Notamacropus eugenii: one gene and its partners. The protein of the gene in region 4 interacts with the protein of the main gene of each other region in a pairwise test. Links are inferred from orthologs where the notes say so. Each region holds a gene or a part of one and is shown on either strand. Other genes may lie near its edges.

What was found.
Region 1: the proteins of BAG6 (region 4) and SERPINI2 interact in a two-hybrid assay, tested with the Homo sapiens proteins (2 studies listed by BioGRID and IntAct). The two-hybrid records come from large-scale screens. The link is inferred for Notamacropus eugenii from reciprocal best matches to the Homo sapiens genes BAG6 and SERPINI2.
Region 2: the proteins of BAG6 (region 4) and EFEMP1 interact in binary tests that used the Homo sapiens proteins (3 or more experiments, as listed by UniProt). The two-hybrid records come from large-scale screens. The link is inferred for Notamacropus eugenii from reciprocal best matches to the Homo sapiens genes BAG6 and EFEMP1.
Region 3: the proteins of BAG6 (region 4) and DNAJB11 interact in a two-hybrid assay, tested with the Homo sapiens proteins (2 studies listed by BioGRID and IntAct). The link is inferred for Notamacropus eugenii from reciprocal best matches to the Homo sapiens genes BAG6 and DNAJB11.

What each region holds. Positions count from the first base shown.
Region 1 is NC_092877.1:357,004,588-357,011,930, forward strand, and holds the start of SERPINI2 (serpin I2), read left to right. Parts: upstream 1-4,323; 5' UTR 4,324-4,641; coding exon 4,642-4,909; intron 4,910-7,343.
Region 2 is NC_092872.1:650,314,632-650,321,600, reverse strand, and holds the start of EFEMP1 (EGF-containing fibulin-like extracellular matrix protein 1), read right to left. Parts: upstream 3,001-6,969; 5' UTR 2,866-3,000; intron 1,448-2,865; 5' UTR 1,441-1,447; coding exon 1,360-1,440; intron 602-1,359; coding exon 575-601; intron 1-574. UniProt on the Homo sapiens protein: Binds EGFR, the EGF receptor, inducing EGFR autophosphorylation and the activation of downstream signaling pathways. May play a role in cell adhesion and migration. May function as a negative regulator of chondrocyte differentiation.
Region 3 is NC_092873.1:55,002,548-55,009,470, forward strand, and holds the start of DNAJB11 (dnaJ homolog subfamily B member 11), read right to left. Parts: upstream 3,016-6,923; 5' UTR 2,569-3,015; coding exon 2,501-2,568; intron 1-2,500. Other genes in the region: TBCCD1 (TBCC domain-containing protein 1), read left to right, coding at 5,863-6,198. UniProt on the Homo sapiens protein: As a co-chaperone for HSPA5 it is required for proper folding, trafficking or degradation of proteins.
Region 4 is NC_092873.1:85,277,672-85,284,685, forward strand, and holds the start of BAG6 (large proline-rich protein BAG6), read right to left. Parts: upstream 3,027-7,014; 5' UTR 2,892-3,026; intron 2,764-2,891; exon of another isoform or gene 2,637-2,763; intron 2,256-2,636; 5' UTR 2,246-2,255; coding exon 2,138-2,245; intron 326-2,137; coding exon 208-325; intron 94-207; coding exon 1-93. Other genes in the region: APOM (apolipoprotein M), read left to right, coding at 6,725-6,838. UniProt on the Homo sapiens protein: ATP-independent molecular chaperone preventing the aggregation of misfolded and hydrophobic patches-containing proteins.

The DNA of each region.
Region 1 (7,343 bases), on a different chromosome or scaffold from region 4:
AACCTAGTCCAACATTCTTATTTACAGATGAGAAGACCAAGGGCCAGAGAGTCTAAGTGATTTTCCCAAAGTTACATAAGTGGTAAATACCAGAGGCAGGATCTGAACTACGGTCCTCTGTCTCCAGGGTCAGTGTTCTTTTCATCCTCCCACACTGTTTCCTTAATATCCTCATCAGCGATTTGGACAACGCATGTTTACCATGCTTATAAAATTGGAAGATGATACAGTCAGTCACCAAGCATTTACGAAGCACCTACTATGTCCTAAGCACTGTACTAAGTGCTAGGGCTACACAGAGAGGAAAGAGAAAACCACCATCCTTGCCCACAAGGATCTCACGGTCTAATAGTGGAGATCACATGCAAATAACTATACATACATACTAGATATGTACATTACACATAGAAGGTCATCTCAGAGGGAAAATAGGAGAAGAAATAGTGAGAAGTAAAAAGCATCCTGCAGAAGATGGGGTTTGAAGTGAGTCTTAAAGAAAGTCAAGGAAGCCAAGAGGTAGAAACGAGAGAAGAGAGAATTACAGGCATGGGAGCAGTCAGTGAAAAGACAAGGAGTGAGGAGAAGACAGAGCATCCTGTGAGAGTAACAGAAGCAAAAGAATAAAGGGTAAAGAAACAGTTAAGAGGTAGAGATGATATGTCAGGTGACAGAGACAGGGTCTCAAAAGACCTGTATGGAAAAGAAGGTTGTACTGTATCTAATAACAAGAGATTTAATAAAGATGGACTTAAAGCTGTATATCTTAATTAAAATTAATAACTACAATACAATGGATCTGTGGTGAGATAATAGCTTACCTGAAAAATGGCTAGGTGTGTTAGTGAACAAATGAATGGATTAGAAAAAAACACATTTAGATGGTTACTATGTGCAAGAGCCTAGTGACTAGCAAGTTTGCGATGGATCTATAGTATAATACGACCATTTGAAAGTTAAGGTGGCAAAGTTCTCAAGGACATTGTCCACACTCACTGTTGACAGTACCCATAGTCCAGCTACCCTGACTTCTATAATGTGATAGAGATTCTTTTCTTTTAAATACAGTCATACTATATAACTGCATTCCCTTTTAGACTTGGTTCTACTTGATTACTTTTGATTACTTTTGATTTGATTACTTTTCTCATGAGTGTCATTAAATATTGATGATGGCATCCAAGTGGAATGTGTTAAATTCTCATGTGGAACCACAGGAATAAGCTACTAGTTCAATTCAGAACCAACTGCATGGTCTTCCAAATTCAATTTCCAGTCATGCCATAATTTAAACAGAATGAAGAATAATGGTAACGTTTGTTCAATGGATTCTGAGCGGTTCATTTTTTTGTGCCATTCCTTTTATTACTCATTGAAATGATTTTCTCTATCAGTTCTTCCACCTCTTAAGGGCAATCAGTTAATGTTATCATTTAGTGCTCTCATAACAGAATTCTTGAACACCTGCTGTGAGTTTGGAAAAATTAATCAAGTAACCTTCATGATAAATGTACTTGCCCTTGCCCTTCTACAGAGCCAGGCTCTTAACAGTTCCCAGGAAGCTCATTCTAAGCATAACATCCAGTAACTAACCATCGGACATTTTTAAAAGTAAGTATGTTGATCTCACACCTGAAACTCCTTTAGTGTAACATATGGGTGTGATAGGACCCCATATGATGATTCGGCAGAATTGAAAAATGTTGGAATTCCTGAGGGTATAGGAAGTATGATTGAAGTTTTAACAATTAAGGGATTACTTTATCATCTTAATGGATTTCACTATGGAAATTAGATAGCAAATTTGGATTCAAAGTTGTTGAATCAAGACCTTTCACCAAATTGTACAGCATGAAAGTACAGACCTACTCAGCTGTCACCACTCCAGGGGTAAGTGAAAATGTTTCTAGAAGGGGATAATTTTCTGATGCCTAGAAATGTCTGATAGAGGAATAGTAAAGAGTCCTGTACTTGGAGTCAGCAGACCTGGGTTCACATCTTGCTTCAAGAACTTACTAGTCTTGTGACTAGTCTTAACTTCTTATTTCCTTAGTCCATCAGCTATGAAATGGTAGGGTTGAACTCCATAGCATATAAGGTCTTTTCTAATTATAAATCTGATTTCCAATGTCTTATCTTTTCCCCCAATTTTGTGGGACATTTTTTATTTAAAATTTTAGTTCCAAATTCTATCCCTCCCTCCCTCTTCTTTCCCTTCACTGGGATGGTAAGCAATAAGATATGTTATAAGTATGCAATCATGTAAAATATTTCTGTATTAGTCATTTTATATAAGAAGACCCCAATAAAAGGGGAAAAATGAAAGAAAGACAGTGAATAATTGCACAATTCAGTCTGTATTCAATTAATATCAGTTCTTTCTCTGTAAGCAGATAGTACACTTCATCATTAGTTCTTTGGGATTGTCTTTGCTGAGAACAGCTGAGTCATTCATAGTTCTTCACTGAGCCACATTGCTATTGCAGTGTGCAACGTTCTCCTGGTTCTCTTTACTTCATTATATCTATTCATGTAAGTTTTTCCAGCTTTTCTGAAATCATTCTGCTTTTCATTTTTTACAGCACAATAATGTTCCATTACAATCATATACCACAGCTTGTTTACTCATTCCCCAATTGATAGGTATCCTTTTAATTTCCAATTCTTAGTCACCACAAGAGCTGTTATAAATATTTTTATACACATAGGTCATTTCCCCCATTTTTTTTTATTTCTTTAGGATATACACCTAGCAGTGGCATTGCAGAATCAAAGGGTATTATAGCACTTTGGGCATAGTTCCAAATTGTTCTCCAGAAGAGCTGGATTAGTTCACAACTCCACAAATAGTGCATTAATGTCCCAGTTTTCCCATATCCCCTCCAACATCCAACATTTTCCCTTTTTGTCATATTAGTTGCTCTGATAGGCATGAGGTGGTACCTAAAAGTTGTTTTAATTTGCATTTCTCTGATAAATAGTTATTTAGAACATTTTCTCATATGACTATAGATAGATAGCTTTGATTTCTTTGTCTGAAAACTTCCTGTTCATATGTTTTGACTATCAATTGGGAACAGTGTCTTAGCTTGTAATGAGCATCATATTTATACAAATTATGTTTGTTAGGGTTAATGATATCATGTATTTTATATTTGCTTATATTGTTTCTCCCCAAAGAGTGTGAGTTCCTTGAAAATGGGGATTATTTCTATTGTGTCTTGTAGGTCCAGTGCCTGGCAAAGGACTTAGCACACAGTAGAAGCTTAATAAATGCTTGTGGCTTGATTTTCAGATTATGGTACAAGCAACATAAAACATGTTACACACTTGAAAAATATTGTTTGTAATTCTAATTTGTACTTGGATGCAAAATAGATCCCTAATGGGGTTGATATTAGATGAATTACAAGCATTTGTATCATTTTTAGCTATTTGCATAATAGCAAGCAGATGTTTTGTTCAGAAACCTCACAAAAAACCTTCTTTCTCAGTATGTCAGGACAGATTTGTTCACAGAAAATGTTGCATGTGAAACTTCTCTGGCCAATTTGATTTTCTCATTAAGACAGTAACATCCACAACCATATGTATCAATTTATTCCTTAATAAAATATTTGTTTGGTGCTTTAGAATATTCTCTCATTTTCTTAACAAAATTTCTTTCAATATGCTCTTGAGATATCTCTTTCCTATCATGAGATATTGATCACCAAAACAAAGGGATTTTCAAATGAGTATATAAAACATATTCTGGATAATCCAAACAATGGTTGCACCTGGATTAGTTTTTTTTAAAGAATTTGACTTCTAATATTGCAACTATCTGTACATATAAAACTGTATTATTCCAATGAACTATATAACTGCAACTCTGTAATGTCAGCAGTAGCTAGAATCCATTCAAATTGTGTCCATTTGAGATCATTTTTCTTCTCAGGCCATAACACATAAGACTAATTCAAATTAGGGAACTCTAGTGACTTTGATATTAAAATTCTAGAAAAGCATCTCACAAATGTGGTGAAGGATGAGAAGGGATCATTCTGAATGAACAGAATTCCTGACAAAATTCCAGAACCATGGCCCCTTGGGAAAAACTACATTGAAAAATGACCAATAAATCTACCAGTAATTTCTAATGTACTCAGTCACCAGGCACCTCTCTAGGTAAGTTACAGATGAGTGGCTGATCTTCCTCAAAAGTACCCTGCACTCATGAAGTCAGAAGTTGAGACTTTCAATCCAATCTAATCTAATAAACATTTATCAAGCCCCTATTATTTCCAGGCACTGTACTGAGGCTGCAGATACAAAGGAGGAGACCCCTCACACAAAAAAGCAGGAGAATGGAGAGTGGGTATCTGGTGCAGGGGCTTCTTGTGAAGGAGTTCAAACCAGGCAGAGTAGCAGATGCAAGAAACATTTTAAAAATAGTGACAAGGAAAACAAGATTAAATCCACCAGTCCTGTTCCTCCTAAAAATAAAGATGTATGATGAGAAAACCCCAAATTACAGGGACTCTGTTGGCTCTACATCACTATCTTGTCCATTGGGAATGGAAGGTTCTTCTTGATAATTAAATTCAGTGACTTTTTGGTATTTTGTTGTCCACTTAATTTTGATTCTCCCAATGCACAGGCATGATTATGACTCAGACCAGGTTTTGGAGATTCTTACTGACCGTTTGTGGACCGTTCCTCATCCGGATTCACAGTTCCAGTCTTTTGGCGGACAGCAATGATAGGTTTGCTCTGGACCTTTATCAAACCATCTGTTCATCTTATGAGGAGAATATTATATTTTCCCCAGTTGGTGCAAGATTGGTTTTGGGAATGGTACAGATGGGGGCTAAAGGAAAAGCCCAGCACCAGATAAGAAGAGCTCTGAGACTTCAAGAAGATTCAGTTGGTGAGATTTCCTTAGGGAGAATCATGTTCTATTTTCTCTGTGGCAGATCTGCCAACTCAAGTATGAGGTATCCAAAAATAGTGACATAAAAGGTTTTGGGGCTCTCTAGAGAGTGTGCAAGAGTGGAAAGACCCTTGTTTTGAAGACAAAGGGTCTGGGTTTATATCCTGACTGACATTGGAGCCTGTTTGACTTTAGGCATATCAGTTCAGGTTTCAGATCCTTAATTTTTAAAGGAAGCAGCAAGACTCTGTGTTATCTAAGGTCCCTGAGAGAAGAATTTTTTTTTAAAAGAGAAATCCAGCATTCATATACTATGAGCCTGTGACTAGAAATGGCAAAGATACAAAAATATAGATTTGCTTGGGACCTTTATCAAACTGTCCATTTATCTCAGGAGGAGAAGATTATGGTTTCCCCACTCAGTGCAAAAGTGGTTTGGGGAATGATACAGGTGTGTGTGTGTGTGTGTGTGTGTGTGTGTGTGTGTGTGTGTGTGTGTGTGTAAGGAGCAAAGGCAAAGAGGGAAAGATACACAGAACCAGAGAGAAGATAGGATCTAGAGCTAGGAGTGCCTCATTGAGTCCAACTCGCTCACTTTACAGATAAAGAAACTGAGGTCCTCAGAGGTTCTGAAAGGATCAGTCCAATGTTCCTACAGGTGAGGCAGTAGGTGTCAGAGTCATGATTCAAACCCAAGTCGTTCTGTTCCACAATCACTACATTTCCTCTCCCCTGCTGCTGCTGAGAAGCCTTGTTTCCTAGAAAATCAAATAAATAGGCTTTCATTTCTTAGAATGAGATTCATACAATAACATTCCATTAAAGTCTTTATTAAATACAGGTCATTTATCTGCAAATTAAATTAAGTCTATAAAGCTGATTATGAAGACACACATATACATACAAATGCAACTTCTGTTAGATGGTGACATTTTCCTACTGACTTCCAAGAACTGTGATTTATCAAAGGGCTGCTGACTGTCACATGTTCTTAAGGCCTAAGTACATGACATAAATCCATTCGTTCAGACAAATGATTATGAATTGCATTTTTTTCTTTTTCAGAAAAGCTACTGAATTGCAAAATGTCAGGAAATCAGTTTCAAACTCTGCCAAATGCCTTTTGAGTCTTAATTAATTCTTTGGAAATATTCTGCCACTCCTCCCCCACCCAGCAAGTCTTAAGGCTAATCTCTAGAGTTTCAAAGAGGGAAAGTAAAGTCTTCCATGTCCTGTGTTAGTCTGGTCACACCAGTCCTTTAAATAGCCCAGAAGCAATTCCTGAAACCAGCCAAGTGAAACAAAAGATGATGATTAACTTCCTAATGGAAGGAAGGTTGAGAAGGAAGTGCTGCAATTCATCAGGAAATGGGAATGATTTTTCCCCAAAGTGGAGTCAGAGCTGGAAGGGATTTTTTTTCTCATCTGTAGAATGTGTCTAAGAGTATTTGCCCTTTGTATTTTGAGAGTTTATTACTCAGTATGAAATGAAATCTAAAAATATATGTTTTGTTTTTCTAAATTGTTGCATCAGTGAAAGCTACTTGTAGCAACACTCATCATGACTCTGGATTTTATACTCTAGAAAGGAGTTATGATATAGTTGGCCAGCACCAATCCAGTCTACTGAAAAAGAAAGCTTGTCAAGAAGACAAGTTCAAACTCTTCCTCAGGCACTGATTTAGCTGAGTGACCCTGAGCAAGTCACTAGACTTTTCTCAGCCTCAATTTCCTTATATATAAAATGGGGCTGATATCAGCTACATCACAGAGTTGTTATGAGGATCAAATGAGATAACATATACAAAGGACTTTACAGACATCTAAGTACAGTATAAATACTAATTGTGGTCACTATTTAATTGTTAGTGTCTCCTTTTCTGTCTCCTCGTTGAGTGTGCACCTGATTATCCTTCAAGTCTTTCTTCTGGGACCTCTTCTCTTTCCTCTTTACATTACCTTGCTCGGTGATCTCATAGGTCCTGTATATTCAATTCTCATCTCTATACAAATGATTCTCAGATCTATTTATCCAGCCATAACCTTTCTCTTGACTTCCATTCTAGAATCTCCAATTGCCTATTAGACATTTTGAACTAGGTATCCTATAGGCAATTGGAGAGTGTTGACTTACTGATTTTACCTTACAACATCTCTTCTACACATCCTCTTCTCTCTTCTCACACTACCACCATGTTGGTAAAAACCCTAATTACCTCATGCCAAGACTATTCCAATAGCCTAATGGTTAGCCTACCTCAAGTCTCTCTCCATTTCCCTTTCTCCTCCACTCAGCCGTCCAAGTGAGCTTTGCAAAGCACAGGTAGTTGGACCATGTTAACAACCTTCAATTAAATGAACTCCAGTGGCTCCCTCTTGACTCTAGAATCAAATACAAAATCTGATTTTGGTTTTTAAATTCCTTTGTAGC
Region 2 (6,969 bases), on a different chromosome or scaffold from region 4:
AATGATAAATATTCACTTACAAGATTAATTCATTCTTTAGTTTATGTTAACTAATTTATCAAAGCAGCAGTCTTTTATTAAATAATTGGATAAAGGGGAAGCAAATTTAATTTTAGCTTTCTGAAAGAGTGACTTTGGACTGAATTAATAAGTGAACATTATTAAAGCCTAGAGATTAAAAAAAGGAGATGCACTAATTTAGTATTTCTCTGACCTGGCTTAGTCCCAGGAGAGGAAGAAATCATCACCTGATCATTAAATTAATAAATCATTCATAATAAATTGTTTCATTATAATTAGCCTGAATGACACAAAGACATGGTGCCAGATAAAAATTAGCATTTTGAGGATTACATGATATTGAAAAAGTGAGATGATGTTTATTATCAGTAAAATGCTTACTCACTTTTAAGAAAATTTAAAAAAATTTCCACAATAATTGGTGAGAACTTACTATATTTGCAAATTGGGATCAATGTTGTTTTGATCATTTTAAGCCAGGGCAAATGTTATTATTCTCCTCATAACATTGATTATTAGAAAGCAGAAAACACAAGCAGGGTGAAAAACTTACCGGAAGTGAGGCAGTCCCGACCCTCCTCTGTTCTTACCACATCAATTCCCGGCAATGGGAGGAGTGAGAAGATATTTCCAATATTTTATTAACCATTGGTCACAGCTATACAATTATTTTCTCAAAGAACTATTGGAAATTTTATGTATTCTAATAAAAATTTCATATAACCTACTTGCACAAAGTATATTTTAAGACAATTTTTTACCCAGCACTAGGTTTTGACTAACACACAAGTAAAGTCTCTCACTAATGGGAGACTCTAAATGCATCAAAACATTTGACTTTGCTGCTGACATTATTAAACACACATAGCCTATAAGACATTTAATAAACTAGTTTCCCTTCATATGAGAAACTCCAGTTAAATGTATACATGATCTAAGGTACTTCTGTAATGTTCCATCTACTTAGATTTTAATTGAGAGCGACCTGTGACTAAGTTTTTGGCTTTATCGGTTAGTGAATGACTTCCTACTTACCCTTTCAAGCTTTTTCTGGCTTAATGAATATGTCTAGAATGTATAAATATCTTTCATCAGTGTATAAATCAGTTTTTTTCTTGCCTTGGCTAACATATTAAGTTTTTGTTCTTATCTCAGTTTATGATGTAAATAAACTTTTGAACGATCTGCTCCGATGCTGGAGCATTGTTTAATTCATTACACACATTGTGGTAAAGACCTGTGGGAGTAATCCCACATCTGCTTCCAGAGGTAGGTAATTTCTCTCCTGTCATAGACTCTCTATAAACTGAAGTTATCTTAAATTCCATCAAACCTTACCGTGTATGTGATGGTCTCCTCTGTCTCCTGTGACCTTACAAGAGCAAGAGTCAAAGTGGTCAGGAAGAGTATTTTCAACATCCTGAATCTCAAAGGAAACACAAGACAAATGGATTTTTAATATCTGTTGATTGAAAGGACAAGACATGAGATACAATGTAACCTCTAAAGGAAGATAGAGGGCAGGGGAGGCTGTCTACCACACTGTACTAAGAATTCACTTTCTCATCTGACTCTACCCCACCCTTCCTCTTCGCCAAACTAGGCACCAAAAGTAGCAAAAAAAAAAAAAAAAAAAAAAAAAAAAAGCAGCAGAAACCCCTCTTCACCTGGAAGACAGAGCTACATATACAAAGTCCCAAAGTAATAAAGATGGCCATCTCATTGGATATCACACTTAGAAAGAGAATTAACCATCATAGGTTTCAAAGGAGGTAATGTACATTCCTTACTAGTCTTTTGGAGAGAGGAGGTGTGCGTATATGTGTGTGTTTGGGGGGATATTTTTAACACAACTTCAGATTTCTTAAAGATTTTCACTGTCTTTCTAAGAACCAGAGCAAAGCCCTGCAAAGTCCGTGGTGGGGGGCACCCCCACATTTCCTTAGTTCGAGATTTTTGTAGAGATCTCTTAATCATGTTCTTCTCTCACCCTACTAGTTACCCACCCATCTCGGTAGTCCTCTCTTGGCAGCTCTCCCCTCCCCCGCACAAATTTTCCCATTGGATCTTCCACAGAGGTTCTCAGCTAACAGTGTGTATATAGCCTTACAAGTCTCACGCAAAGAAGATAAGTAACCTGGAGTGCCTGGCTCCCTTTTTCATCGTCTTTCCCCCCTACCCCCCATAAGACCCAGGAGTTTGCATAGTCTCCAGGCAGAGGGCACAGAGAAAGACGTTGTAGGGTGGCCAGGGTTGGGGGTTGGGAAGGTTGGGGGCGCGGCTGGCTGTGGTCTGGGCGGGCATGGAGGTGTTTTCCAGCTTCTTTGGAGGAGCCTACCTAACTCCGGGGGACAGAGCCGCAGAATTAAGCGCTCCTACTTTTAATTAACTCAGTTTTTGAAGGACTACAGATTTGGCTTAGAGCACACTCACGCTGAGACCCATACATACCTACAAAGCACACCACACGCAAGCAATCTGAAATATACAAAATCATATTTACATCCACGCAAACGTGCTGATTTACACACACATATATGGAACGAAGAAAACGCACATTGATGCAAATGCAATGCAATTCCAATGTATGGACACTCCTATTCTGTAATATCAGCTACCTCTAAACACACACACTCAGCGTGTACACACCTGATACCTAAAGTCTTAACTGGTGCAGAGATACGCAGACCTGTGCCAGCAGACCTGTGTGCCAGCAGAGTCGCTGCCACATTCCCTCAGTGCAAGTTCCATTTTCTCACCAGGACCCACCTATGAACTTGTGCATACACGGCCGGTTGCTAACTAAATTCTAAAAGCTCTAAGATCGCTCCGGAGGGCTCCTACCTGCAAGGGTGCGCTTTCCCCTCCAGCCCGGGGCCGTAAAGGTGTGTGCGATGCAGAGCGAAGCTAGATGAGTCTGAGCTGGTGAGGTCTGGCAGCAGCAGCAGAGGCAGGAGGAGGAGGAAGAGGAGAGAGGGAGGGAAAGGGGGAGGGAACTGAGGGAGGCGCAGGGCCGGTGCAAGTGAGGCAGCCCCTCCGGGAGACCGCGGCTCTGTTCTCCGCGCGCCCTCCTCCTCCTCCTCCTCCTCCTCCTCCAGACCCGCCCGCCCCGCCTCCCCACACCCTGCTCCTGGCGCCTCAGCTCCTTCCCCCCCAACCCCCCTTTCTAGTCCACCTTCAACTTCTTCCCTCTTTCCCTCCCTCCCTCTGGGCTTTGCCTTTCGGGGAACTATAAAATGTAGGCTGGACTGGGGCACATTTGGCTATGTTTTCTCCTGGTTTGAAATAAGACTTCATTTTTCTCCGGTCCTTCAGTTAAAAACATGTTATACACTGGACACAGAATTTTTTACAGTGATTAGGATTATTCTTAAAATTTTTTTTTTTTAAAGAACAAGTTACTCCTTTCCCTTTCTGGCCTCCCCTTCTCTCTCCCTCTCTCTAGTGAGTACCTGAAAAGGCCTTAGCCTAAAAGGTCAAGGTCTCCCTGGGCCTTCTCCAGTCATCCTGATGAATATCTGATCACTGGACCCAGGTGGCTCAGGAGGAGAAAGTGAGGCTGGTGATCTTCCACAGCCCTCCCTCACTCAGATCAAAGTCAACTGCAAGTCACGTTTTCATCTTGATGTCACCGTCCTCTTCCAAAAGAAGGATGAACACAACAACCCTCTCTCTTGCAGTCTTCCCTTCCCTAATGTAGAATTTCAGGCATTAGCAAGAAGTACCCTTTGGGGAAGGGGAAGTCTTCCCAGGTCTGTCAAATCATAACATCTGTTCTTAAAGTTTTCATGTTAAAGTCAGACTAATAGTTTGTACGCATATCTTCAGATAGCAACCCACTATACTACGCCTTCTCATCCTTTTCCTACTTATTCATGCCCATCTCTCATAAATTTCCACAAGGGTTTACCCTAGGTGCAGAGGGCCTTCCTTTGGTCCTTCGGGGGCTACTGATGGGGTACATTGACTATTCACTATCTTTCACTCTTACCTCAGGACCCATCATACTTCGTTTTCAGACTATACCTCTCTTTGATAACATCACACCACTGCAAAATTAATTGCTGATCAACTGTAGTCTACTTTGGCCCTTCATGAGCCTCTCTTTTGGGTAATTCATAAATTTAATTTTTTGTATGCTGGTATTCTGTGATTTGCAGCAATACACAGTCAGCAAAAGATAGGGATCTTAAAGAGATGGGACTTTCAGGGTCATTAAAAACTCTGCAAAATTTCTTTTTAATAATATTTATTTTTATTTTCAACTTTACAACCTGGGCAATTCTGTATCTGTAGAAATGCATAAAAGAGGATTATGTATGAAACTGCAGATCGCTATTATGTACAGCTTGCTGTATTTTTTAAGTATATAATTCAACCTGTAACTATCAAAGATGCCCTGCTTGTTTTTTTTCTTTAAAAAAGATGACTCATGTCCTACTGATTCTAGGGCCCGGTGCTCTAGATCTCGTATTATCTAACTGCCCTTGCACAGAATTCTTAAAAAGAGCTCGAAGTTGTTTGTCTTTACACTTTTGATGTTGCATAAATTGTTCTCCTGGCTCTGCTCACTTCATTCTGTATCTTTTTCTATAAATACTCCCAAGTTTCTGTGAAACTATCCCCTTTTCATTTCTTATGGCCACAATGATGTTTCATCATATTCATAAGTATTCCAACATATTCATGCTCCATACATATTCAGGTACCATTCTTTGCCACCACAAAAAACAGCGTCATAAGTATTTTTGTACAAACAACCCATTCATTTTACAGCACTAGTAAGTAGTAGCTGGGTGGCACAGTGTGTAGAGTACTGGGCCTGGAGTTAAAAAGACTCATCTTTATGGGTACAAATCCAGCCTCAAACACCTAGTAGTTGTGCGATCCTGGGCAAGTCAATCCCGATTGCCTCCCCCCACTCCCCCTGCAAAAAAAAGAACTGCAATGAGCACCTTCATTCCAGATGACCAGTGATGAAGTGGGTTACCCACCTTCTGACAGAGAGGTGATAGACACCAAATACAGAATGAGACGTATATTTTTGGATATGACCAAGGTAGGAACTTGTTTTGTTTGATTATGCATATTTGGTGCATAATAAGTGACTAATAAATGTTTATTGGTTAAAAAAGATGCTTCAATGTCCCTTTCCTTTCCTTTCCTTTCCTTTCCTTTCCTTTCCTTTCCTTTCCTTTCCTTTCCTTTCCTTTCCTTTCCTTTCCTTTCCTTTCCTTTCCTTTCCTTTCCTTTCCTTTCCTTTCCTTTCCTTTCCTTTCCTTTCCTTCCCTTCCCTTCCCTTCCCTTCCCTTCCCTTCCCTTCCCTTCCCTCCCCTCCCCTCCCCTCCCCTCCCCTCCCCTCCCCTCCCCTCTCCTCTCCTCTCCTCTCCTCTCCTCTCCTCTCCTCTCCTCTCCTCTCCTCTCCTCTCTTCTCTTCTCTCCTTTCCTCTCCTCTCCTCGCCTCTCCTCGCCTCTCCTTGCCTCTCCTCGCCTACTCCTCACCTCTCCTCTTCTTGCCTCTCCTCTCCTTTCCTTTCTTTTTCTCTCCTTTCTTTTTCCTTGTTCTCCTCTCCTTTCTCTCCTCTCTTCTTTTTCTTCCTTCCTTCATCTCTCTTTTTCTTTTCTTCCTTTTCCTTTTTTTCTTATTCTACTTTCCCTCATCCTTCACATTGAAAGAAAAAACGATTCACAGAAATATGCAAAACAAAGTACTACATTGGCTATGTCTTATTCTACTTCTTAAGCTCATTACCTCTTTCTCAAGCGATGAGTAGCTTCATAGTCACTCCTCTGGAATCATCATTGGTCATTGCCTTGGTCAAAGTTCTCAAGCCTTTAATAGTTGTTTTCTTTACAATTTTATTATTATTGTATAAATTGTTTTAGTTCTACTCACTCCACTCTAGATTAGTTCATATTTGTCTTTGCAGGTTTTTCTGAAGCATACATTTCATTATTTCTTAGGGCACAATAATTCTCTATTAGTTTTGTATAACATAATTTGTTATCCCGTCTCTAATAAAGGGGGCTTTAATTTCAAGTCCTTTGCCTGAACATAGAAGACATTTAAAGAATGCTTGCTAGATTGGAATAGATTGGATGGACCAGCTCTAAGGCTTTTCCATCTAATTATATATCATGATCTGGATAATAAACATTCTTTATCCACTTAGTTTTTCCTTTGTAGGTAGTTAGGTTGAACTCTTTTGAGTTAGAGATTAGATCCTTGTGGGCAGGGACTATATTCTGCCTCTTTTTTGCATCACTGGTGCTTAGCAAAGTGCCTGGCACATAGTAAGTACTTGATAAATATTTACCGATCGATTGAGGCATGTATCTGATGTAGGAAATTCTGCAGTATTCCACAGTTTGAAATATCAGCAAAATATCATTTGAAAATAGGTCCTCACCATTTATAGGGGATCCCATTTCCATTTAAATTCCGTATTGGACATTCTGTATGGCAAAGGCAAACATCTCTGGTGAGCATGAGCTTGTGTATTTCTTATATACTATCATTAGTATATAAGCATATATGTTTATATGCATAATATTATTATATTGGATATTGTATTTATATGCAACAATATATTATAGAAGTATATATTCTATAGCTATTGAAATTATTATGGAAATTCTATAGTTATTGAAATTATATTATTGAAATGTTATATTTTATAATTATGTAAATAACTATATATTATTACATAATATATAATAATATAATAACAGTATAACATAATACAGATAATTATATGTCTTAGAACATTAAAATTTTTGTATATTTAAATAGCATTATATGCATTATCTCATACTATATATTATATTATTAGAGAATATAGAACATATAGTTCAATTAATAATATACAATTCTATCATAATTATAAAATTCAATTATGTGTAATGTAATTATGATAAATTTCAATATGGTATATTTATAAATTGATA
Region 3 (6,923 bases), about 30 Mb from region 4:
AAACACACAGTTTCTACACAGACTTCCACAATTCAATGACACTTAAAAACCTTGAGACACATTAATGCTTTATTTCTAAGTAGTGGTGAGATTATATTTACTTATAAGGAAGACTTAGTGGTGCTCAGGCACCATCTCCAACCAGACGCCTTTCCTAGTGTTCTTCAGTTTTTCATATTCTCTTCTTTCTCAAATTATTCAGTTTGGCTTCTCTCTACATTTATTTTTAACCCCTCAGAATGTAAAATCCTTGGGAACAGAGTTTTGGGTTTGTTTTTTTTAATTCCCACTGCCTAGCAGAGTACTTTTCACATAGTAGATACACTTCTTCTGTGCTGGTTGAGTTGAAAAAATAGAACACTTTGGAGGAAATCATCTCATGGTACTAAAGAAATGACTACCTATGACCTCCCATAGAATCCTAAAGCGGTAAGCACCTTACTAGATCATATTGTCTGGTCCCCTGCCTTCATTCAGACACCTTATTATCCTCATTCTACAGATAAAGGGAGGGTAACATCTAAAAGGTCACACAGCTAATAAATGATGGAACAAGGACTAGAACTCAGGTCTTCTGCCTCCAACTGTGCTCTCTGCACTACTTCACACTGGCACTCAGAGGTGGCCTAGACAGGGACACAAGGAACTCAAGATGCTGATGATGTCCAATAAACTCCATTGGGTTTGGGAAGGACAATGGTTCCCAAAGGTTCTCCCTTCCTTTGTCTCAGTGTAGTTTGTGTCTCCGTTACACACCACTCAGCTTGACAGTCACTCCTCAGCTTTTTAAAAAGACATTCCCTCCAGAGGGGAAACATGACATCAACTCCCTTCTCCCACACTAGTCAGTCTGTCCATAGGCCAGTCCCCCAGTAAAGGGGAGCACAGACCTGTGACTCGCCCATCAATTTCTCAGCTCAGCTCCTTTTCACCTCCTCAGTCTTCCACTGGTCATGCTCCCTCCTACCCCAGAACCACAGAAGAGGAGTTGGAAGGACTCTAACCTTAACCTGAATAAGACCCTGCTCTCTTGCAACATTAACTTATAAATCTGGTTACTGAGCTTTTTCTTGAAGACCTTACTGCCTGCAGTCCATAACGTCTGGAGGCCTCCGTCTCACTTTCGGATAGCTTTAGTCATTAGCAGTTTTTATTCTTGTTTTTTCCCTTTTCCTCAGGGCTCAAGTAGCCACTTTGCCACTTCTGCCTGCTGGCTCCTAATTCAGTCCTTCGGGGCCAAGCAAAACACGCTTCTGTTCCCACCTGACAGGTAATGACCACGGCTCCTACAAGTCTATCTCCAGACATTTCTAGTAATGCACCTGCCACGGACCCCTCCTCATAAGAGCCCTGCCCCACCCCAGACAGTCCTACCCCCCTCAGCTCTCTCTTAGCATGGTCCCCCTATTATGCACCCCAGACAGTCCTACCCCCCCCCACCTCTCTTAGCACAGTCCCCCCACTCTACCTCCCCCAGGCAGTCCTACCCCCCTCACCTCTCTTAGCACAGTCACCCCACTCTACCTCCCACAGGCAGTCCTACTCCCCTCACCTCTCTAAACATGGCCCTCCCCAGGCAGTCCTACCCCCCCCACCTCTCTTAGCACGGTCCCCCCACTCCACCTCCCCCAGGCAGTCCTACCCCCCCCACCTCTCTTAGCACAGTCCCCCCACTCTACCTCCCCCAGGCAGTCCTACCCCCCCCACCTCTCTTAGCACAGTCCCCCCACTCTACCTCCCCCAGGCAGTCCTACCCCTCTCACCTCTCTTAGCACAGTCCCCCCACTCTACCTCCCCCAGGCAGTCCTACCCCCCTCACCTCCCTCAGCACGGCACCCCCCAGGCAGTCCTACTCCCCTCACCTCTCTAAACATGGCCCCCCCAGGCAGTCCTACCCCCCTCACCTCTCTAAACATGGTCCCCCCCAGGCAGTCCTACCCCCCTCACCTCTCTCAGCACGGCCCCCCTACTCTGCCCCCCAGGACGCCCCCACTTTCCTCACCTTCCAGTCCCGTCTCCCTCATCCACTCAACCTGCTCAATCCTGCCTCAGGCCAACCTCAGTACCGGATGTGACCCCCCAGGACGGGCTCCCTCACCTCTCCCCCAGCGCCCCCCAGGTCCCTCCTTCCATTCCTCTCTAGCCAGGACGGGGAGCCCAGCCCCCTCCCTTCCTGCTGGCACCGGCAGCCCTGCCCCCCAGTCCTGGACGCTGCCCCCTCATCCCCTCCCCCACCACAGAGAACCCTGACCTCTCAGTCCTCAGCTGCCCCCAGCAAAGCTCCGAGCCCCTCCACCCCTGCCCCCTCAGTCTCTCCCTCACACGGCCCCCAACTCCTTCCCCATCACAGCCCTGCCCCCCCTCAGTCCTCAGACCCCCTCGTCCCCTCCCCCATCACCCCCAATCACCGGCAGCGCTTCCCTCCCTCAGCCCCTCAACCCCCCCGATCCTTCCTGCCCCGCCTCCTCATGCCCTCCGCGCCGAGGCTGTCTCTCCTCACCCCGCCATCACGGCTCCGAGCATGTAGAGCAGCAGGAGGCACAAGCCGCCCAGCCTATGCGGGGCCATGGTCAGTCTCCTCAGCGACAGCCCGCACCTTCTTCCCCTATCCCGGGAGTCCCCGCTCCCCGCGGGAGGCGGGGCCGATGCACCGCCAGGCCAATCAGTGACCAGGGCATCAGCGCGTGCCGGCGCAACGACCAATCACCGACGGACACTTCAACGCCTAGCTCGCGTTCCCGGGAGGGACGGACCCGGAGAGCGGCATCCTAGGGTCGACCAATCACAGGCGGCAGCGTCACCGGCGTCGCAGCGCCCCCTCCTTTTTCCCATAGAGATACGCGGCTCTCGGATTGGAGCAAAACGACGGACTGCTGGCCAATTGCGGGCAGTAGCGCTTTTCGTGAGCCCCGCCTCCTGTCTCGCTTTGCCAATCCCTAAAAGCGATGGCTCGTCTTACCTAATCCCGAACCAATCATCGGGAGTTTTACGGCAGTCCTAGACTGGGACACAGGAAGGTTAGGTTTTTTCAAAGTCAGGGCTGGACTGCAACTGAATCTTTACTGAGCCCTCACCACTGATACAGACTTCCGAGGGGGGCATTGTCAACGTGAGAGCCGAGAAGCACCACGTGATCTCGCGGCAGACCGGGCCGAATTCGTCTCGCAGGAGCCTTCCGAGGCCGCTCCAGATCTGCCGGCGGACTGGAGTGTCTCCTGCTGTGCCTGCGCGCCTGCGCCGTGGCTCCCCTCAGCCTCCGCAGAGGAAGCTTCTGCGCAGGCGCTGGGGATGTCGGGGCAGTCCCTCTCGTCCCGCCCCCTGCTCTGCCTCGGGCGGTTCCTGCAGGTAACGTCCAGGGCCGGTGGTCTGGGAGGGTGGGGGTCATTACGCCTTCGGAGGGCAGTCCCAGGTTGACCCATGATACCCCCCCTTTTAAGAGAGGCGGGCTCCAGAGCTCCCCATTTGAGGGGGATCTCAGGTTCTCCCTCAGTTGTGGGGGGTCATCCCATGCCGTCCAATTTTAGGGGGCCCCCCGGCCTCCCCTTTTGAGGGGGATCCAAGTTTCTCCCCATTGGAGAGGGAGGGTCTCAGATTATCCCCATTTGAGGAGGGGGTCCTATGGTCTCATTTGCTGGGGCATCACAGCTTCTCCTGTAAAGTGGGGGGTCATGCAGCCCCCCAATTGGGGTGGTAGTGCCGTCTTCCTGGAGGTGATCCCACGGCCTCCTTTGGGGGGGAGGGGGCTCGGTGGGCTTCCCTCTGGAGGTGACAAGTTGGGGGATGGTCATGTGGCCTTCTCGAGCGGGGAGCAGGGAGGGTCCGGTTGGGGAGCGCCCCCCCTAACATGGGACCCAAGTCTGTCTCCCTGACCCCCCCAAGTTGTGCCCCTGGACTTGCCTCGGGTGGGAATCCCAGGGGTCCAGAGGATCCCAGAGGCCCTGGGGAGATGGGGGAGGGATTGGAAGCTGTCTCCAATTGTACAGCTTGCCCCTTCAGCCTTAAAAGGCACGATCCTGCCCCTCCCAGGATAATTTCAAAACCAAACCAAAGGAGAAAGTTTGGAGTCGAACTTCTCATTCAGGGGGGCATATGCGGGAAGCCAGGGGACACCAAGCAGGAAACTTGTATTGACCCTGAAATCTGTTTCTGCTCTCATCAATTGATCCAAATTGTGCCCTCAGGAATGAAACACAACCAGTTTCATCCCTTTTCCTCATGACAACCTTTCGAGTATATACAGACAATTGTCATGTTCCCTCTGTGTCTTTTCTTCTCCAGAATAAACATGTCTGGTTCCCTCGTTCCATTCTCAGGTGACAGACGGTTTCCTTTAGCCTCTTTGTTGTTCAGGTGGTTTGTTTTCCAAAGATTCCAGAGGGGAAAGATTTCAGCACAATGGCCTGGTTGATGTGTGCTTAAGAAGTAGAATTCATTCCAACTGTGTGAGCTTCACCTTGTGAAGCTTTTCTATTGTAGTGGTCAGTGCTGCCATCCAGCCTGCACCGCCCTGCTGCATGCCTCACTTGGTGTCTCTGGTCCTTGGGTCACTGAAGATGGTCATCTCTTGTGTCTTTCAAAGACTCTTGAAGGACTTTTTGTATCCCCAACCCTTAGCACGGTGCCCAGCACGTAGGAGATGTTTGATATGTGCTTATTGACCGACTGTTTGGATGGGAGACACCATGTAGGAGAGAGCCTTGTTCAAAGTGGCATTTTCTTCTGCCAAATCACAGGCTTTTTAAAAGCCAACAAACACCTTAGATGCAGTCATTTGTGTAGTGGTAAAGATGTGGTCCAATGGAAAAAAACACTGGTTGTCAGAGGCTGCCTGTTTGCTGCTAATCCCCTCGATCCTGAGGATGCCAATGATGCCTTTGGGGCTGATTCTCAGGGAAGTTGTAAAGTTGGTACCTGGGTGGGTGGGCAGCAGCCACCAATGTTCTCTTGCTCACCTGTGTTTGGTATTGATAGGGGCTGAGATTTTGTTTCCCACCATTGATATTTCCCCTCCTTGAAGGGAAATCCCTCATCACCCTCCTAATGGTGCTTGCTTTGGTGTGTGCCTCCTTCTTGCACTCTTACCTGAATCTAGCCTTCTTCTACAACCCTAAAAGCCCAGCCAGGGTCACTGTCAGAGTCCAGGCACACTGACTCCACTGTTGCAGACGGAGAGAAAATTTGATTGTGAAAACTTTGGCAGCTTTTCCGTTTGTCTTCTGGGCTTTGTCACCTTTAATGCCCTGGAGGTAACTGCCTCCTCTGCTCCTGGCAAACTCTCTTCAGGCTGGCTTTAGTCCCCATAATCTTTCATTCTTCTTTGTGAGATCATCTTACAAGAGTATGATCATAGAAGACTCTGAGGTCTATAGCACACAAACTGCTTTTAAACCATTTCCATGATCTGATGACTTCCTCCAGCCCAACAGGACTTTATAATACCTCTGTGACCTTAGGCAAATCCCTTACTTATAAGATGAAGGGAGTAGACTCCCCGACTGAGTTTCCTTCTAGTTTTAATTCTTTTATCTTATAAAATCATTGCATTAATTTCAGCCAAACACACTGGGTTTCTTGTGGGCTGGGCACCTTGTGATAGAGGATGGCTTGACCAAATAGGCACAAACGGCTAGCATGGACCATACAGGTAGGAATTGTTTTGTTAAGTAGTCCCAGCTGCCTGTAATTCAGTATAGCCAAACTGCCGGCCTTTCTGTGCTACTTCATTTAAAAATAGTTCACTATGTTGTCAGCGCCTCAATGATAAATGTATGTATGTTTTTGTTTCCAGTTAATTTACACAGAAACTTTGTTTCCTAGATTTGCAAAGGAGCCTCTTGAGACACAGATGGTGTCTGAGTTAAAATGGAGCAGTCAGCTGTCCACCTGTGGGTGAGAACAGAACCGTTTATAGTGGGCACTTTGCCTCTCCCTCCTCCAGCCAAATTCAGCCTTCATTATCTCAGAAAGATATCCACATATGTTCGAACCCGAGCCAGGGAGGGAGGTTACCCACGCCTCTTCTGGCCCACATGGAGGCACATTGCCTGTGGGAAGCTACAGTTAGCCAAAGACATTGCTTGGCTTTACTTTGAGATCTTCGATAGTCTGGTGCCAAGGACCCCAGAGGAGCGTCTGGAATGGGCTGACCTGATGTCTAGCTGCACGTGTGAGGAGGATATGGAGAAGCAGAGGAGTAAGGTAGGCCTTTGGGCCCAGTATTTTGGGGTTCAAACAGGAGAGAAACTATCTTTTCTACAATTGCAGTGTATAGGTTGGGGAGGCCATCAGAGCAGTTGGCAGTGAGGACCCCAGCGTCTCTGGTTCAGAATTAACCTTAGCCCATCCCACATCATTGTAATCACCTTCTCCAGCAGCAGCAGAGCAGGGATCCCCATGGAGAAGGAAAACAGTTTGGAGTGGGGGGTGCTGGGCAACACACTACACTAATTGTAAGGTGGGAGCACACATAGGAGGGCTTCTAGCACATTCACTCTTGATTCAGACAGACAGTAAGACAGGAACAGAGACATAATAAGAGATTAAATATTACTTTATTCTGGTCTAAGGATTGCTGATAATGGAAGCACCAGCTCCTATAGCTTCCCTACAACTCTTCTCTCAGGGACCGGTGAGAATGGAAGTTCCAGCTCCTAGCATCCCCTGACCCTTGATGGGGGCTGGTCAAGGAAGGACACATGTATTCCCCTTGAAGATTCCCCCTAATCCTTGATGGGCGGGCCATCATGCGCGTACAGCATTCCAGCTTGTGCATTCCCCTCTAAGCACAGCATTGCATTGTCAGATTCTCCGCTTACTGACCAATGCCCCCTTGATTTATAGGGTAACAGACAAAGAAGGCAGTTTGCCAGCAATAACCTCCCGAGTTTTCATTATCTCATTTTTATATCTTATTGCGCAGTCGC
Region 4 (7,014 bases):
AGGGAGATCCTGCCCCCGAGGCAACCCCAGAGGATGGAGGCTGGGTCTGTGGAGGGGCCCGCTCCACCAGATGGATCACCTTTCCCCCAACATCTGTAGTAAATGAGAAAAGAGAAGAGAAGAGTGAGGGAAAAGTCAGTTAAATACCTCAACCCTCCCCCCAACCAGCAAATAATCCTTCTCCTGAAGCCCCATCTAGCCCCTCACTGTATTCCTGTAGCTTCTTCTCATCCTGCAGAACTCGCCCCTGATATATGAGTCGCTGTTTCTCAGAAGGGATGCTGACCGAGGCAGCAATATGCTCCTTAAATTCCTTCACTGTCATCTGCAGAGATGAAAAGGAACAGGAAGAAAGGTCACAGAATATGTAATGCAGAATATCAAGCAATTAGTGGGGGGTAGAGGGGGGGTGAGTCACATAACAGTTATAAAAATCATTGCCCATTTTATTACATTTATGAAGTAGCCACTGCCTGCAAGGTTCTGGGCTAAGAAATACCTGACAGAAAACAGCAATTTTTAAAATTGCAATTTATTATTTATTTTTGACATTTTCCTTTTAAATTCTGAATTCTAAATTCTCTCCGTCCCTCCCACACCCACTGAGAGGCAACAATATGATATCAATTACACATGTGAAATCACAGCAATGGTTTTAAATGGAAATTCAATGGCTAGCCCAGGAGAGAATTAAGACATAACAACAGAGTCCCGTTAAGTCCTATATTCTCTCCCTTCCCTTTGGTTCTATGTCTGGAGTTACAGGTAGGGAGAACCTTACCATAGATATAAGTATGGTTAATAAGGGAACATTCTGTGAGGGAAAAGGAACTGTAATCAGACACAGGGTCCCAGACTGTGTTTGGATATCAGATGAGATTAGTTTAACAGATGAGATTAATGACTTGTGCATGTCCAAAGAAATAGGCTTTTTGTGTTATCTATGTATAAGTAGACATACACATACATGTATAAATGTGTTTATGTACGTAGGTGTATATATAGACATACACATACAAAATATTCTTCCTTACGTTGCTGTCTTTGTATCAAGTTAACAACAATAGTAAAAATAAACATTTATAGAGCATTTTACAGTTTTGCAAAAGCAAATAACATAGAGAGGTATTATAAATTTATCATTTCTAGTTCACTCATAAGGAAATCTAGGTTTAGAGATGTTTGGTGATTTTATCAATCCTAAATCTTTCCTAACTCTAAGTATACCATTATTTCCACAATACTGATCAACTAAACCAGACTTAGGGTGTATCCTAACTCAGTTATTCTGTCCCTGTGCCAGAAACCAGGGCATGATTTGAAGTGATAAATGGTTTTTCTCCGTGAGATTTCAAAACTTGAGAATATCCCCAAACAACCCTACTTCTAGGTTCTTCACTTTCATCCATGTTATACTTTCTCTACTGATATGGATCACAACTATTCTACTACTTAATAGTTTAATAAATTACTGTAAACAAAAAATTCATTTGTAGGCCAATCTTGTGATGATCAACCTCCTCTGAGTATTTCTCAAATGACAAATATTTAGTACACTGCTGGATCCGTAATCAAAGCCTTTCCAGCTTGATGGGACTTGGAAGCCTTGTAGTTTTGTTGGCCTTGCCTTAGAGAGCCAAACTATTATGAGCCAGCAAAGTTAAGGAAAGAAACATCCCTAATTACCCTCATACTTTCTCAAGTCTACTTGTGGTTTCTGCCAGCGTGCCCTGCCCCCACCCTCACCCCCCACAGGTTCCATATCTTTTTCCATTACAGCTGGAGGCTCTTCAAGGACAAGAAATTCATACTCTTTTTTTGCCTCTAGGATTCTCCTAAGAACATAATTATTCATATGATAAAGAGACTGTCCTCTTAGGAAATGCATCTCTCTGTGACCCAGACAACAATCAGAACACTTTCATGAGATGTTTCTTTATCTACAAAATGAAGAGAACCAGATGATCTCTAAACTACTTTCCAGTTCTAAAATCCACTAACTGATGTTCAATATGAATAATACATGTAAATAGAAGACAGACAGAGAATCTGGTGGGTCCTTTTCTCAGGATGAAAAAGTGATTAAGGAAAAGCTTTTTATAGAAACTCCGAAGATTTTTGAACCCTCAGCTCTCACCTCAGCCCCCACAGTGAAGGTTCGAGTCTGGGAGTCCAAGGTCTTCACCAGTACCTCCAAGTTGGCTGGTTCCTCCATAGCACTGCTGCTATTATCACTGGGTTCCATGATGAACACGCTGAAGAAGAAAACAAGACTAAATTGTTATCACAGGATCTAGCTAAGTTCCTACGTTCCAAGTGCTGATCCAAACTCTACCACAACTCCCCAAGGAATCCAACCCCCACTCCAACTCCAAGCACACACACATTGAGCTTCTAACCCTGGGTGAGGGGAAGAGAATAACAAGAGCAGTAACTCAAATACAGGAGAGGCTTTGAAATAACGCCTGTAATAACGTCAAGGCAGCATCTGTCACGACCCAAAGGAGGACAAGAATGAGAAAAAAGGATGGGGGGGAGGGGAAGGCGTGCGGGGTAAAGGCCTGAATAAGATTGGGAGGTCCCTTCTGTCAAGAAGGTGAGAAGGGACCAGGGAGACATGCGCCACGCACGCGCACCATGCCACGCCCACCGCGATAGGGAGCCCGCGAGCCTGCTTCTGTCGCGACAGATCAGGAAATCGGGACAATGACGGAAGGAAAAGAGAGGCCCCGGTCTAGCTGGATGTCACCCTTCCCCTCGGTGGTACAGTGAGAACTACGCACAAGTACAAACACATATACATACATGTACGTACACCCACATACATACACACTAGCTGGTAAGTACGTACACCCACATACATACATACACACACACGCATATACACACACCTGCCCCGCGGCTCCGCCCCCGGCCTCCCGGCGGCAACGCCACTTCCGGTCCTGCCCCCACACTTCCGCACGAACACTTCCTGTTCCCCGATAGAAACTGGGGGGTCGCGAGACGGCACTTCCGGTTCCCCCGGTCCCCAAGATTTCCTTCTGTGGGGTACGACGAGGAAAGGGGCAGCCCGGGTTACCGGGGAGCCCCTAAGAGGAAACGAGTCGGGGCTCGGCCAAGGTGGGAGGAAGCCGAGCACCCACAGGAGCCACCGTCGCCGCCTCCCGGGGGACCTTAGTGCGCTTGCGCAAACCACACTGCGCTTGCGTACACGATTGAGGACCCGCCCCACTGATTGGATTTACCAGCCTACAGTGCGCGCCTGCGCCACAGCGCGAGGAGGGTGGGGAGGTCGCGTAGCGGATGACTACAGCAAATGCCTGAAAGTAATTTTCCCGTTGGGGCTTTCCGTCTATCTCGCAAAAGACCTGTTCTCTCGTGAGTGGGAGGACTGTGCCTTTGGCATGGAGGTTGCTTCTCTAAAAAGGGAAGAAATTCGCGGTTGGCCGCGTCCATCGGACGGCAATATTTTAGACACCTAAAGTAAACCCGCTTCCACCTCTCCTTAGGTAACCTTCCAAGCAGGCGGTTAGGGGCGGTGAAGGTTGGGGCTCCGCACCATGTTCATTCAGAGGGGCACGAGCCAGCCGCCATATTTCTTTTGGGCAACGCGAAGTTTTTCAGGGTGGGATTCATACGTGGGCGGGTTTGCGTTTTTTTTTTTTCCTTCCTAAGGGTCACGAGAGTAGCCAAACCACTCGTTGACATCTCTGCCTTAAATGGAGGGGGTGGGGGAAGAGGTAAAGAGGCCATATTTTTTGAGGGCGGAGGTTGCTGCCATTTTGTTACTCTTGCTTAATGCTGGTGGGGGAAGGGAAATGGAAGGTGGTAGCTGGTAGTGGGACAAAGACCAGGGATAGGGAATGGGGGAACCAGAGGAAGTCTGGACCATAGAGGAGGTGACAAATCCAGAGAGTAGTGCTCGGTGGCTAGGCAAGACCTTTGGAGGTCCCCTTGGGGCTAGGAGGGTCACCATTTCAGAACTGTAAGGGATTTAAGAGGCAGCTTATTCCAACCCATACCTCAGCAAAAGCTTCTCCTCAAGAAATCCCCAGCAAAGGGGTCATCAAGATTCTACTTAGAAGACCTGGATGAGAGAGAACAACTACTCTTTAACAGCTCATTCAGCTTTTACATAGCTTTCACTGTTCAAGATGATTTTTCTTTACATTGGGCCTTCAAAATGGGCTAAAGACAAAAAATTATTTATCCAGTGCAATTTTATTAATTACCAATTTAAATCCAACCAATTGAATCTCAGATCAGGCCCTCTTTTTTTTTTCCCCCTGTAAGATTTATCATAGACTGCATTAAAAGAGGTATGTTGTCCAGAATGTGGAAAATAGCTTTGTGATTTTCAGCCCTGGTCAGATCACATATGGAGTCCTGTGTTCACTTTGGGGTACCACATTTTTGAAAGGACAGTTAGGAACTGGGAAGCATTCAAGGGAGGACAACCAGGATGGTGAGGGACTTGGAGGAAATTTACATACACAGATACATACATATACCTTTGTTGTTGTTCAGTCACATCCAACCCTTGGTGACCCCATTTAGGGTTTTCTTGGCAAAGATACTGCTGGAGTGGTTTACAGTTTCCTTCTCCAGCTCATTTTAGATGAGGAAACTTGCCAAGTGACTAAGTGACTTGCTCGAGGTCACACAGCTAATAAGCGGCTAAGGTCAGATTTGAACTCAGGTCTTCCTGACTCCAGGCCTGGGCCATCAAGCTGTCCCTAATATACATACATATACAAATATGTTCATAACTGATGGAAGGAACAGGAGATTTGTTAGCTGGAAAACTGAAGGCTCAAGGAGGGATATAACTGTCCTCAAGTATTTGAAAAGTTGTCATTTGTTAGAGTAATTCTACCATTCCTCTGCGGCCCCAGCTGTCAGAACTTGGAGCAATGGACAGATATATTGGGTTTTTTCCTAATGGAGCCTTCTGCAAATGCAAGGGAGTGGTGCCTCTTTAGGTGGTGGGTTTCCCCTCACTGGAGTCATTCAAGTAAACACCAGATGACCAGGAGTAGAGGATGATTAGAGTAGATTCTTTTTAAGGTATAGGTGTATAGCCCTTGGGGGTGGAGCGGGGTATAGTGGGCTATATGTTCCCCATTGAGTAGGGTTCCAACTCTGAGATTTTATAAATTTGGCTGTGCTTTATTGTTCGAAAATTTCTCTTGCATCCTTGTTTCCCACTATTGTTTAACCCTTGTATGCATTTCTTTCTGAACATTTAAGCTTCTGCAAAATGGAGTTATTTGCTTCTCAAACTTTCTTACCTCCTAATCCTATTCATCCTCTAAAGCTACCTTTAAGTGACATTTCCTTCAGGTAATAGTAGCCTTCTGTTTGCTTCTCATCCCCCAACTGATCCTGTTATTTTGCAGAAAGGTGCATTTTATTTGCTCCTCTCATATACTTTTGTTCTTTGCACTATAGTTATTTATGTATGTTTTGTGCACTATGAGATTGTGAGGTCAATGAGGATAGGTAGCAGAAGGTAATTTGGTTTAATGGAAAGAGTACTGAACTTTACAGCACGACTAATGTGAAAATGTTTAATATGAATGTATACGTAGCACCTATATCAGATTGTAGGCCTGTGTGTATATGTACATATATGTGTATATGTAGCACCTATATCAGATTGCAGGCCTGTATGTATATGTACATATATATGTATATGTAGCACCTATATCAGATTGCAGGCCTCTGTGTATATGTACATATATGTGTATATGTAGCACCTATATCAGATTGCAGGCCTGTATGTATATGTATGACCTACATCAGGTTGCAGGCCTATATGTATATGTATAGCCTATATCAAATTGCAGGACTATATGTACATGTACATATATATATACATATATACACATATATATATATGTAGAGCCTATATCAGATTGCAGACCTATATGTATACGTAGAGCCTATATCATATTGTAGGACTATATGTATAATGTATATGTAGAGTCTATATCAGATTGGGGTGGGGGAAGGGGAGGAAAGGGGAAAAATTTGTAACTCAAAATCTTATGGAAGTGAATGTTGAAAACTAAAAATAAACTTTAAAAAAAAGTTGAAAAAAAATTACTGGACTTGGAGTCAGAGGATTTGGATTGATTGCCAGCTCTGCCACTTAGTAGTAATGTGACCTTGGAAAAATCACTCCTTTTTCAGACCTGTTTGGTTATTTGTTAAAAATGCAGGGTTTGAACTTTTTAGGTTCCTCTGAAATCTAATATATCTTTCTCTATGCCCAGCACAGTATATAAAAAGTACTTAATAATTACTTTTTTAATGTAATGATTTTGCTGCAGTGTTTGTCTCCTTAATTAGATAATATGCTCTTTGAGGACAGGACTTCTGTCTATATTCTCTCTCCCTCACCAGACATGGTGCTATGAATATAGTATACAATAAATACTGCCAGTGAATGAATGAAGGAACCTCCAGAAGGCTGCACCCTTCCCCTCCCCCAGCCAGGTGTAAACTCCCAGTTATGCTGCTAGTATGTAATTTGAGGAGGGGGAGGAAAGCCCAGAACACTGTCAACAACCCAGAGTTGGGTTGGAAAACAAGACTAGTTACTCATTAGCAGATCCAGGGGATCAAGGGTTGAGGAAAGGGGCCAGAGGCTGCACTGGACAGAACTCACAGAGGAGAGTAGTTTCAGGCAGCTGCCACCCTTGCACTATACTCTCTGAGGATGTTCTACCAAATTTGGAAATCTGTCCTTTACATCTCCGGGATTCTCTATGACTCCATTTACCAGTGTTCTAAGCCTTATCAATTAAGTCCTCTGGAAGTAAATGGAAAAGAGGTATGGGGGCAGGAAGGAGGGTAGGGGAAAGACAACAGGAGGGAATTAAGCAGGGATTTGGTGGTCTGTAGAAGAGATTTTGAGGGACTTAAAGTGGGGAGCCTGGGGGAATACCTGGAGGTACAAGATGATATGGGGATAGTGATGACAAGGAACGGATATAAAAAAGAGTACTG